3 linked regions of the Oryctolagus cuniculus genome follow. Each later gene encodes a partner of the first gene's protein in a complex. Links are inferred from orthologs where the notes say so. Each region holds a gene or a part of one and is shown in the gene's direction. Other genes may lie near its edges. The genes, in order: SIKE1, STRN3 and SLMAP.

Evidence for each region.
Region 2: the proteins of SIKE1 (region 1) and STRN3 are in contact, whole or in part, in a crystal structure (PDB 6AKL), measured with the Homo sapiens proteins. The link is inferred for Oryctolagus cuniculus from reciprocal best matches to the Homo sapiens genes SIKE1 and STRN3. Residues at the interface, in NP_079349.2 of Homo sapiens: Glu96, His97, Ala100, Leu103, Ile104, Ser106, Lys107; in NP_001077362.1 of Homo sapiens: Arg176, Leu179, Tyr182, Leu183, Val186, Tyr188.
Region 3: the proteins of SIKE1 (region 1) and SLMAP are in contact, whole or in part, in a crystal structure (PDB 6AKM), measured with the Homo sapiens proteins. The link is inferred for Oryctolagus cuniculus from reciprocal best matches to the Homo sapiens genes SIKE1 and SLMAP. Residues at the interface, in NP_079349.2 of Homo sapiens: Ile5, Ile8, Leu9, Ala12, Lys13, Leu16, Leu19, Arg20, His22, Asp23, Ala26, Glu27, Leu29, Val30, Ser33, Ala34, Leu36, His37, Val40, Met43, Arg44; in NP_001291349.1 of Homo sapiens: Leu168, Tyr171, Leu172, Glu174, Ala175, Arg178, Glu179, Met181, Leu182, Lys185, Thr188, Leu189, Leu192, Leu193, Ile195, Thr196, Ala199, Ser200, Thr202, Ser203.

Annotation. Positions count from the first base shown.
Region 1 is NC_091438.1:55,566,776-55,569,879, forward strand, and holds part of SIKE1 (suppressor of IKBKE 1), read left to right. Parts: intron 1-1,136; coding exon 1,137-1,250; intron 1,251-3,104.
Region 2 is NC_091443.1:44,422,888-44,426,537, forward strand, and holds part of STRN3 (striatin-3), read left to right. Parts: intron 1-777; coding exon 778-911; intron 912-2,179; coding exon 2,180-2,355; intron 2,356-2,537; coding exon 2,538-2,585; intron 2,586-2,879; coding exon 2,880-3,001; intron 3,002-3,650. UniProt on the Homo sapiens protein: Calmodulin-binding scaffolding protein which is the center of the striatin-interacting phosphatase and kinase (STRIPAK) complexes.
Region 3 is NC_091441.1:92,185,059-92,189,459, reverse strand, and holds the start of SLMAP (sarcolemmal membrane-associated protein), read left to right. Parts: upstream 1-1,542; coding exon 1,543-1,740; intron 1,741-4,401. UniProt on the Homo sapiens protein: Associates with the striatin-interacting phosphatase and kinase (STRIPAK) core complex, forming the extended (SIKE1:SLMAP)STRIPAK complex.

The DNA of each region.
Region 1 (3,104 bases):
TGGAGCCTCACTAATTGCTGCAGTGGAAGATACAGTTCATCTCAGATCCTTTTGGATGCATTTTATTGATTTATTTTCATTTTATTTGAAAGGCAGAGACAGAAGGTCTCACATCCACTAATTTAATGCCCACAATAGCAGACCTGGGCCAAGCTGAAGCCAGAAACCTGGAACTCAGTCTGGATCTCCCATGTGCATGTGGGTGAAAGAGACCCAACTACCTGAGCTGTTCCTCTGCTGCCCCCAGGATGCACATTAGCAGGAAGCTGGACCAGAGGCCGAAGAGCTAGGACTTGAAACCAGGCACTCCGAAATGGGATGCAGGCATCCCATACAGCATCTTAACTGCTGTACTTGGATTCCCACCAAAGGGATATTTTAAATACTCGATTCCTTTCATATGAAAAATAAAAATAAATGTTATTTACTGTGGTTCAGAAGGAAAAATATGAACCTTCAGGGAGACAAAGTTTAGCTCATTCAGAAATACTTTCTAAGCAATATGACCGGATAAAGACACCTTGGTCTGTGGTAAGCTTCTTGCCAGTAAAAGTCTTCAAATTTAATTGAAAAATGGCCACCTGATGATATCGTCCAACATTTAGTTGTTCTTAGACTTTTGGATTCATGGGGCAGGCGTTTAGCCTGGCAGTTAAGATATCCTTGTCCCATGGAGTATTTGGGGTCTGTGTGCCTGCCTCCAGTTCCTGATTCCAGCTTCCTGCTAATGCAGACCGGGGGAGGCAGTGGTGATGGCTCAAGTAATTGGGATTTTGCCACCCACTTTGTATACCTGGATGGCATTCCTAGCTCCCAGCTTCAACCCAATCCAGTCCAAGCTGTTGCAGATACTGGGGAATGAACCAGCAAATCAGCGAGAAGTGTACTCCCTCTCTCTCTTTACCTCTAAAGTAAACAAATTTCCTTTTAAAAATTCTTTAAAATAAAAAAATTTTTTGTGAATGCCATAAGCTCACTCTATTATGACTTTACTTTCCATGACTCAGATTATAGTGTAACTACATTGTAACTTGTATAATATAGAAAAAATGAACTTTTAAAAATCATAATAATGTGTTCTCATGCACTTCATATCTGTAGAATGACTTTTTTCCCCCCTCTTAATTTCTCTACAGGAAATTGAGAGTCAGATTGACAGAATCTGTGAAATGGGAGAAGTGATGAGGAAAGCAGTTCAGGTAGATGATGACCAGTTCTGTAAGATTCAGGAAAAGCTAGCCCAATTAGAGGTAAGATTGCTGCCATTTTTAGTTCATGATATTTCACAGTTTTCATAGTCTGGAATATATGCCATCACTACCTTATCACTGTAATATATTGATATTTTCTGTTTTCTTACGACTTAAAACTCTTCATATCGTTTTAAGAAAGACAGTGTTGGCTGGCGCTATGGCTCAATAGGCTAATCCTCTGCCTGCGGCGCCGGCACACCGGGTTCTAGTCCCGGTCAGGGCACCGGATTCTGTCCCGGTTGTCCCTCTTCCAGGCCAGCTCTCTGCTGTGGCCTGGGAGTGTAGAGGAGGATGGCCCAACTTCTTGGGCCCTGCACCTGCATGGAGACCAGGAGAAGCACCTGGCTCCTGGCTTCGGATCAGCACCGTGTGCTGGCCGCAGCAGCCATTGGAGGGTGAACCAACGGCAAAGGAAGACCTTTCTCTCTCTCTCTCTCTCTCACTGTCCACTCTGCCTGTCCAAAAAAAAAAAAAAAAAAAAAGGCAGTGTTGTAATAAACAGCATTCTGTGAAACTACCAACCAAGAATTGCCTAGAGGTTGAGATACTATGAGAGTAGAGAAAGTGAAAGGAATAGGTTATATGAGCCAGTATTCCCCATCTGCCACAGGAGGAAGTCATATGAGTAATACCTAAAGTTGATGACTAGGAAATACAAGTGTAGGCAGATTATTTAGAATTAAGGAAGAAAAGACATAAAGTGGTACTGCTTTTAAGGAACAAAGCCAAGGAACTGCTATTTATTTTATCAGCCTCACATTCTTGATTTACAAAAAAGGGGGCAGAGTTAGAGAGGGGGAGAGAGAGAGAGAGAGAAGTCTCCCATCTGCTGGTTCACTCCCCAAATGGCCACAGTGGCTGGGGCTGGGCCAAGCCAAAGTCAAGAGCTTCTTGTGGGTCTCCAAGGACTTGGGCCATGTTCCACTTGTTTTCCCAGGTCATTAGCAAGGAACTGGATTGGAAGTGGAACAGCCAGAACTTAAACCAGCACCTATATGAGATGCCAGCACTGCAGGCGGAGGCTTAACCCGCTGCAACACCATGCCGGCCCCAAAGTCTTGATTTTTTAAAAGCTATTTTTGTGTAATATTTTTATTAAAATAGAAATATACAAAAAAGGCCTGGATTATTAGTGTACCCCATAAAAAAAATTGTTTTTTTGACAGGCAGAGTGGACAGTGAGAGAGAGAGACAGAGAGAAAGGTCTTGCTTTGCCATTGGTTCACCCTCCAATGGCCGCCGCAGCAGGCGCACCACACTGATCCGATGGCAGCAGCCAGGCGCTTCTCCTGGTCTCCCATGGGGTGCAGGGCCCAAGGACTTGGGCCATCCTCCACTGCACTCCCTGGCCACGGCAGAGAGCTGGCCTGGAAGAGGGGCAACCGGGACAGAATCCGGCGCCTCGACCGGGACTAGAACCTGGTGTGCCGTCGCCGCAAGGTGGAGGATTAGCCTAGTGAGCCGCGGCGCCGGCCTCCCATAAAAATATTAAGGAAAAACATTTTGGTAGGTGGTTTGTGTCCTACTTATTATAAGTTGTTATAATGGGCTTTTGAGAAAAACCAGAGAGCTGGACTGGCACAGTGGTGCAGTGGGTTAAGTCACTGCCTATGACACTGGCTATCTCTTTTGGGTACTGGTTCAAGTCTCGGCTGCTCCACTTCTCCTGCAGCTCCCTTCTAATGCACCTGATAAAGCTGCGAAAGGTGGCCCACGTACTTGTGCACCTGCTCCCATGAGGGAGACCTGGAAAAGGCTCCTGGCTTCAGCCCAACCCAGTTCTGGCTGCTGTGGCCATTTGGGGAATGAACCAAATGATTGATAAATAAATAAATATTTAAATTAAAAAAG
Region 2 (3,650 bases), on another chromosome or scaffold:
TTAATTAGTTATTCAGTATACATGAGTTACTTCATTTTAGAAGTGTCAAGGTAAATAAAAGAGGACATTAAAATAAAAATGATAGAGCTTTAAAGCTAAAAGATATTTTGAAAATTACATGGGTTTAACTGACTTTCAGGAAATTGATGTTGGTGATAGAACTGCTTTTCCCCTAGACTTGTTGCTGTTACTTGAAGAATCTTAGCAGTTAAGGCTTCATTCCAGTATACTAACACACCATATATCAGACTACTGGGAAACCAATTATGTATGAATGCTCATGTTTTCATCACAGACTAGAATACTTAGTGTATCTTGAGAAAGCAGACTGATTTCACCAACAGCCTGTTACTTAAAAAAAAAAAAAACTATATGAGCTACTTTGAGGCCAATGGTAGGGATTTGTTTGCCATGAATAGCTGAATTCTGATATTTAACACTTATTAAATAAAAATTTGTCCTATTATTTAACATGTGAACTATAGTTATAATTATACTGAGACAATAAGAAATTTTTAAGTAAAGCTTTTGTGCCTCGCTTCCCACCATTGAGTAATATATGTAGTGCACATTTGATTAGTGGGAGATAACTACATTGTAGTTCTGAAACATTTCTTTATTACTACCCAGTAATAGAATTTTTGGAGTAGAAGTGGGAAATTAGAAATTAATTATATTACTGAATATTGTAACTGTTAAGTGCTTAAATTTCCCCCACAATATTGTCTTGTACTGTATGATTTTTCAGCATTTAAGAAGCGGTTTTGTTCTTTATAGCTGAACCAATAACGTTTCCATCTGGAGGAGGCAAGTCATTTATTATGGGTTCTGATGATGTTTTGTTAAGTGTACTGGGCCTTGGAGACCTTGCAGACTTGACGGTAACAAATGATGCAGACTATAGTTATGATGTAAGTGCAGTTTTATTTTTAATTTTTTAATGATTTAATAGAAGGCTCCTTATTTTTTGGAATCACTAATAAAACAGAATTAATGTCAAGGTGCATGGAAAAGACAAGTTTAAGTGTGTCATTGTGTTGATTTGAAGTGACATGTAGTTTTTCTTTTATAAGTATTTTCTTTGTGGTGTTTAAATTTTTCTTAGGTATTTTGGTGGATTGGCTAGGAGTTTGGAATGATTGTCTTAAAATATTGATTATAAATACCTCCTGAGTAGTCAACTCTCAATTATTTATTCAAATTATGTTATATGGTGTTGACAAGAAAGAAAAATAGATAATCTGAATAACTTATTTACCTTCAGGATACCTAAAAGCATGTATCTTAGATTTTCTTAAGGATACTGTTAAAGTTAGCTTGCATCATTTTCTGAACACTTAACTCTCATTAGCGGGATGGGAGTAGATGGGAAAGACAGTGTTAGAGGTGAAACTAGTCTTGGATTAATTTTTTTTCTAGACATTGAGCAATCAATTGAGAGTTAACTATATTTTAGATTTTATGTTAATGAATTGGAGTTTTTCAGCAATGTTTTTCCTTTTATAGCAATTCATTTTACTACATTTAATTATGTTAACATGCCTTTTAGAGTCATCAGCCTTGCTCGGCTGGATTATTCTTGATAATATTTTTAAAGTGTGTAAGCAATGAAGTTGTAAATTTTCACTACTTTAAAACTGATTTCACAAACTATCCTTACAAATGGAAAAATAAAAACATTAACCTGCAACAATATCAAGAATTATGAAAATATGCATAAAGGGTCTTTAGTTCAGACATTTAGAAAGTACCTTAATTTGCTGCCTTATTAAAGTTCACATGCTAATAATTTCCTAATTGGCAACTATACTTTTAATTATTGTACCTTTGGATATTTGGTAATAATTTATATATTTTACTTTGTATTTGTGTAAAATATTGCAGCAATGGTAGTTATTTTGTTCTCATCTGATGTATGATAGGAGCTTTGTGTTTAGCTTGACAATTATGTCGATAGGTTATGGAACTCTTCATTTGATCTTGGTATTTGAAAGGCTATTGAAATTCTTCTGAGTTCTTATTAAACTATAAAGATTTGTTACAAAGTTTTTGAGGTCATTACTTTTCCACTGGACATTTTTGCCAAACAGTTTTAAATATATGTTTTAAACACACAAAAGTTCCACTTGCCTAACAATTTATAACTTTTACCACTAAATATTCCACTCTTTCTTTTTAGTTGCCTGCCAATAAAGATGCCTTTCGAAAAACATGGAACCCCAAGTATACACTGCGTAGCCATTTTGATGGAGTACGGGCATTAGCTTTTCATCCTGTAGAACCTGTGCTGGTCACTGCCTCTGAGGACCATACCTTGAAACTTTGGAACTTGCAAAAAACAGTTCCAGCCAAAAAGCAAGTATTTTAATGTTTGTCTGTTTTTTCTTCTACTTATTTTGCTAATATGTTAATTATTCTTTTTTCTGTCTCATGTCTTTTATGCACACATTTGATCTACCTGATGATTCTTTTGATAACCAGTGATTTATAATTACTTAATTGTCTTCTCTTCCCCACCCTTTTCCCCCATTTTCTAGGAGTGCCTCTTTAGATGTAGAGCCTATCTACACATTTAGGGCCCACATGTAAGTTTTATTGAACTATAGTACTTAATTAACAGCTATAATTATTGTTAGCTATTAGTTATCAATCCTTACACCTTGTAATTTTTTTCAACATTTGTTTTATGTTATAAAATACATTAGTTGAATATCTTGTTTGATAATTGATTTGATGAGAATATGAATATAATAGTATTGTTCAAATGTACATGTTTACCTAAAACAATTTTTAGATGCCATATAAATTTAAAGGTTAGGAGAATGGGCATTTGAGTTTCTTCCTAGAATCTGTAAGTAATTTTCTCCCTTTTTTAACAGTGGCCCTGTTCTATCATTAGCTATTAGTTCTAATGGAGAACAGTGTTTTAGTGGAGGTATTGATGCAACCATCCAGTGGTGGAATATGCCTAGCCCCAATGTGGATCCATATGACACATATGGTAAGTAAAAAGATCACAGTTTTTTTTTTTTTTTTCCCTTTCAGTACTAATTACAAAAAGGAGAAGAAAACAAAATCTAAGTAACAAACTTTAAAGTTGAATTAGGTTGCATTAACAATGTTAAGTGGAAGATGATGGAAACAAATAGTTACAGTAAGGGTGTAACTCATACAGCATTTTATTTGGTAGAAAATTCTTAAGGAGCAGGAATTTAGCCTAGCAGTTAAGACACAAGTTCAGATACCTGTATACTATATTGAAGTATCTGCAATCTGCACTCTGCCCTGGCCCCAGACTCCACCTTCCTCCTAATGAAGACCCTGGGAGTTAGAATTAATACCCTCCTTGTGGGAGGCCTCCATAGAATCTTCTAAATTCAGCCCCATGCTAGCTAATTGAGGGCATTTGGGAAGTAACCAGCAGATGGAAGTTCTTTCTGTCTTTCTCAGAGGAGGAAAAAAAATTCTTTGGTTTCAAAGTGGATAAGAAAAAATTTCTAAAACGTTGACTAACAAATAGCAGCCTTAGAAGTCTCTCCCACAGAAATACCTGCCTATGTCTCCAAATATTTACAAGGGTATTGGCCATAATTATAAAGGGTTAAAATGTTTATGATCTACTTGTTCTTTTAGCTTAACATACACTTGCT
Region 3 (4,401 bases), on another chromosome or scaffold:
TCCAGAAGAGCGCGTTAAAACCTGGTTTGCCCTCCTTTCTGCCCTCGACAAATGTGGCTTCCGCGGCGTCGTCCACGTGACATCCCCGGGCTACGGCGCGGGAGAGGGGGTAGGAGGGCCCTTGAAGGGTGCGCGTTCCCGTGGCGGTGCACCGGGTAGGTTTCAGTCAGAGTCACTATGGCGGCCGGCGCTGGCAAGGTAAGCTGAGACGGCGACGGCGGCGGCGGCGGCGAGGGAGGCAGGAGCCGTCGTAGCGTCCCGGCCCCAAATCGCCGCAGTCCGTCTGCGGAGAGGTCGGCCGAGGTCGTGGCCAGCGGCGGAGGCTAGCTGGGGGTTGGCTGAGCGGGGCGAGGGCTGAGGCGGGCGGGCACCAGCGCCTGACGGCCGTTTGTTTTGATGTTTCCCCACCAGGTCGGAAAGTTTCCTGCCTCGTCTGGCACAGCCTGAGCTCGCCCCGCTGGCCGCGAGTGGTGGAGGCTGCGGCGGACCCAGCCCGGGGCCTCCAGGCCTCTCCCTCAGCCTCCGGGCCAGTCTCCCACCCCACCCCCCCACCCCCACCTCCCCGTCCGCCGAGAGCTCTGCGGCTGCTGTCCCTGAGATGCGACCCTCGGGGGGACGACCCTGAGGGGAGGCGGCCGGTGTGCTGAGCAGCCGCGGCCGGGGAGCCCGGGCGTCCAGGGACCAACTTCCCGCCAGCCGGGAGCCCCGCGCCGCGCCCGGGTAGCGCCTCGCTCGGTCCGTACCGGCCTGCGGAGCGGGTCCCGCCCCTGGTCGCGGAGACGCCCGCCAGGTGCCGGGGAGTCCGGACGCGGCCGCTGCCTGCGCCCCCGCCGGCCCCCACGCCTGGCGCGGGCGACCCCTGCCGCCGCCGCCGCCGCCCCAGCTCGTGCGGGGCCGGGGACCCGGTGGGCCATCCGTGCAGCAGCAGCAGCAGCAGCAGGGGCGATGAAGACCGTCCCGCGGGCCGCCTAGACCCCTCGCCGGCCTCCGCTCCCCCGGGGCCCTTGCGGACGGGCGGCGGCTGCCCCTGGCCTCGGCTCCGGAGGACCTTGCCGGCCGCCCCGAACGGACCCTTCCTTCATGCTGCAGTGCTGCAACGTTTCCGCCAGCGAGGGGGCACCGCGGCCGCGATCGCACACAGAACCCCGGAATCGCCGTGTGACTCATCTGCTTGGAGACCTCCAGCCCCAAAACTGCCTTCCAGGAGTTTTCTTGGCCGAAGCTGCCCGATGTTTGAGCCTCTCCTTCCCAGGGAAGATGGACTGAAAGCCGCCAGCGGGGGACTGTTTGCGATCGGGGCGCTGCTGGGTTTCCAAGGAGGCCATGGGGCTTGCGCTGGGCTGCCTTCCCACCCCAGTGAGGAGCTGCTGATGTGCCCTGGTTATGCTTAGACGATGCGCAGTTTGTTGTAATTGAAAACAAAAAATTACTTGAGGGTGGGGTGGGGAATAAGGGGGGAGGTCTACGCTTGTGAAGGGCAGTCCGGATCTGGAGGAACTCCTCGTTGTCCCTGGTAGGAGAGACACCGCCAGTCTGTCCTCGATGCCGTCAGCCTTGGCCATCTTCACCTGCCGCCCGAACTCGCACCCGTTTCAGGAGCGTCATGTCTACCTGGACGAGCCCATCAAAATCGGCCGCTCGGTGGCCCGCTGCCGGCCGGCGCAGAATAATGCCACCTTTGACTGCAAAGTGCTGTCCAGGAACCATGCTCTCGTCTGGTTCGACCACAAGACCGGCAAGGTAATGTCTGACACCCTGTGCTTTGCCTTTCCTTTTGCCCTCCCCTGGAGGCATCATGGATGCATGATGGATGCATGATCCCAGAGTTTGCACCCCAGAGATCGCTTTCAGCAAAGCGGTGGAGTCAACTTTGTGTGTGCCTGGTTCTAGGGGAAACTGAATAGAGGTGGTTGAATGGAAAACACAAGGTATTGTAATCAAATGCCTCGGAGGCCAATGGCATCTTGATAGTGTGGTGGTTCCCAGGGCTTCTCAAAACTGAATAGTGAGACTTGGGACTAGCTGTGCCATCTTTTTAGGAAGGTGGGTTTGCAGTTTGGCGCTTGATTAAGCAAGCTGCAGTTCCCGTAGCAAGGCAGGGGATCCGTGGCCAGCTTTACTGAGGATTTCAGATCAGGGCTTTTCTAGATAGGAGGATTGCTTGTGTGAACCTAATGCTGTTGACAGTTTTGATAGATATTTACCCTTGAAGTGGTACTTTGCAGTAATCAAAGCCAATTAAAGCACGGACAACTGACTTCACAGTTTCAGAGTTTTGTTTCCAGGTGACAAGCAATAGTTAACATATACCTGTTGCTTTCAAAAATCACTTTTTGATGTTCCCTTCAGCACTTTTTAAATACTTAATGCATACTTACAGAGGTGACATTCAAAAATTAGTATGAGGGAATTAATTTGTTTTCTGAAATTAAGTTCAATTCTGTTAATTATATTCTTCCCCAAATGAGGTATTCATTTTAAGTGTAACAATTTTAGCATTTTTATGTGGATATGTAAATTACTATATAGATGTGTGCTTATATATTAAGAAATCAGGAGGCAAATACTAAGTCTTTCAGGTTTTAAAAACTGTGTGTGTATGGAGAGTATACTGAAAGAGCTCATCTTTCTGCTTTACCCACAGGTTTTAGTTGAACTACTGAATTAATTTAAACTTTAAGTTATGTAAGACTAATAGGAATAGCTCAGGTTTCGCCTCCTGACTTTTTGCCCTTTTCTGAGATAAATGATGAAGTCTTCCTTAAAAGAAGAATTAAAATTTTTTCAAGATTAGTGTTTTGAAGTGAAAAAAGCCTGAACCTCAAAAGCAAGAGAGGAAGCAAAGCTGCTTCTGCAGCGACTCAATTAAACAGTTATTATATAAATTATTTTCTAAGGAAAGGAGGAAAAGATTGCCCAAGTGCTGTGTGCTTGCATAATACCTATAACCTACTCTGGTGTGTAGGATGTAGACTGAAAAGTATGTTAATTTTTCTGTATAATGCCAGATGCTTATTTACGTATGGAACATACCCTTTTACCTCCCTGGAAGCTAAAGTTTGGATGCCTCAAAGACTTCACAATTTACACACACTCTTTTAAAATGAATATTCATAAAGCTCATCACTCTGGTCTTTGAATTCAGACATTGGTTAGTTACTAGTACCTTAACCAGCTTTTACATCTTTTGCTCCCTGCCCCCCAGCAACAGTTAGGTCCAACCTAATTAGGTAACAGATTTGCTCTCAGTACATAGATACATACTCTATAAATTCACTTTCATTCATTCAGCAATCAAAGGAGACTTTTTTTTTAACTTACTTGAAAAACAGTGATTACATGCAAGGTGTTCTCCATGCCTGTACTAACACCCTCACAAGAAATTATTTTGCAGTGACTAAGAATAGATCAGTAGTGAATGTTTAGCTGGGAATTGGATGACATGTTAAAACTTTGAATGGAACTTGTTATTTAGAAAAACTTATTTTTGAAGGGTAGATTTGGCTTATTCCTACCATTTTCACCCCCCCCCCCCCCCGACGTTATTGGGTAAAATGAAACTCTGGACATGAGGCTATGCCTTTTTTTATGTGTTTGTTCATTTTTAAGGACTTTTTTTTAAAAAAGATTTATTTATTTGAAAGACAGGGTTACAGAGAGAGAGTAGATCGAGAGGTCGTCTGTCTGCTGGTTCACTCCCCAAATGGCAGCAGTGATCAGGGCTGGGCCAGGCTGAAGGCAGGGGGTTCATCAGGTCTCTCACTAGGGTGGTAGGGGTCCAGATATTTGGACTCTCTTCTGGTGCTTTCCCAGGAGCATTATCAGGGAACTGGATTGGAAGGGGAGCAATGAGAACTTGAGCTGGTGGTCATATGGGATGCTATCATTGCATGGGGCAGATTAACCTGCTGTGCCACAATGCCATTCCCAGGATATCACTTTTCAATGCTAATTTTATGGATCATCTTATTGTACTTAAACCTATAGGTTTGCCACAAGTGGGTTTTAATATTCTTTCCCACTCATTTTCCCAGGGATGTAGCAGTTGAGTATTGCCCTGCTTAGGTGATGGCCCTTGTAGGAGGCCACATTCTTAAAATTAGATGACAGGTGGCCAGCACTGTGGTGTAGTAGGTTAAGCATCTGCCTGGCATCCCATATGGACACCATTTGGAGTCCTGGCTGCTCTACTTCTGATCGAGCTCCCTGCTGGTGGCCTGGGAAAGCAGTGGAAGATTCAAAATTTTAACATGTCATCCAGTTCCCAGCTAAACATTCACTACTGAGCTATTCTTAGTCATTGCAAAATAATTTCTTGTGAGGGTGTTAGTACAGGCCTCTGCACCTGTGTGGGAGACTCAGAAGAAGCTCCTGGCTCCTGGTTTCAGATTGGCCCAGTTC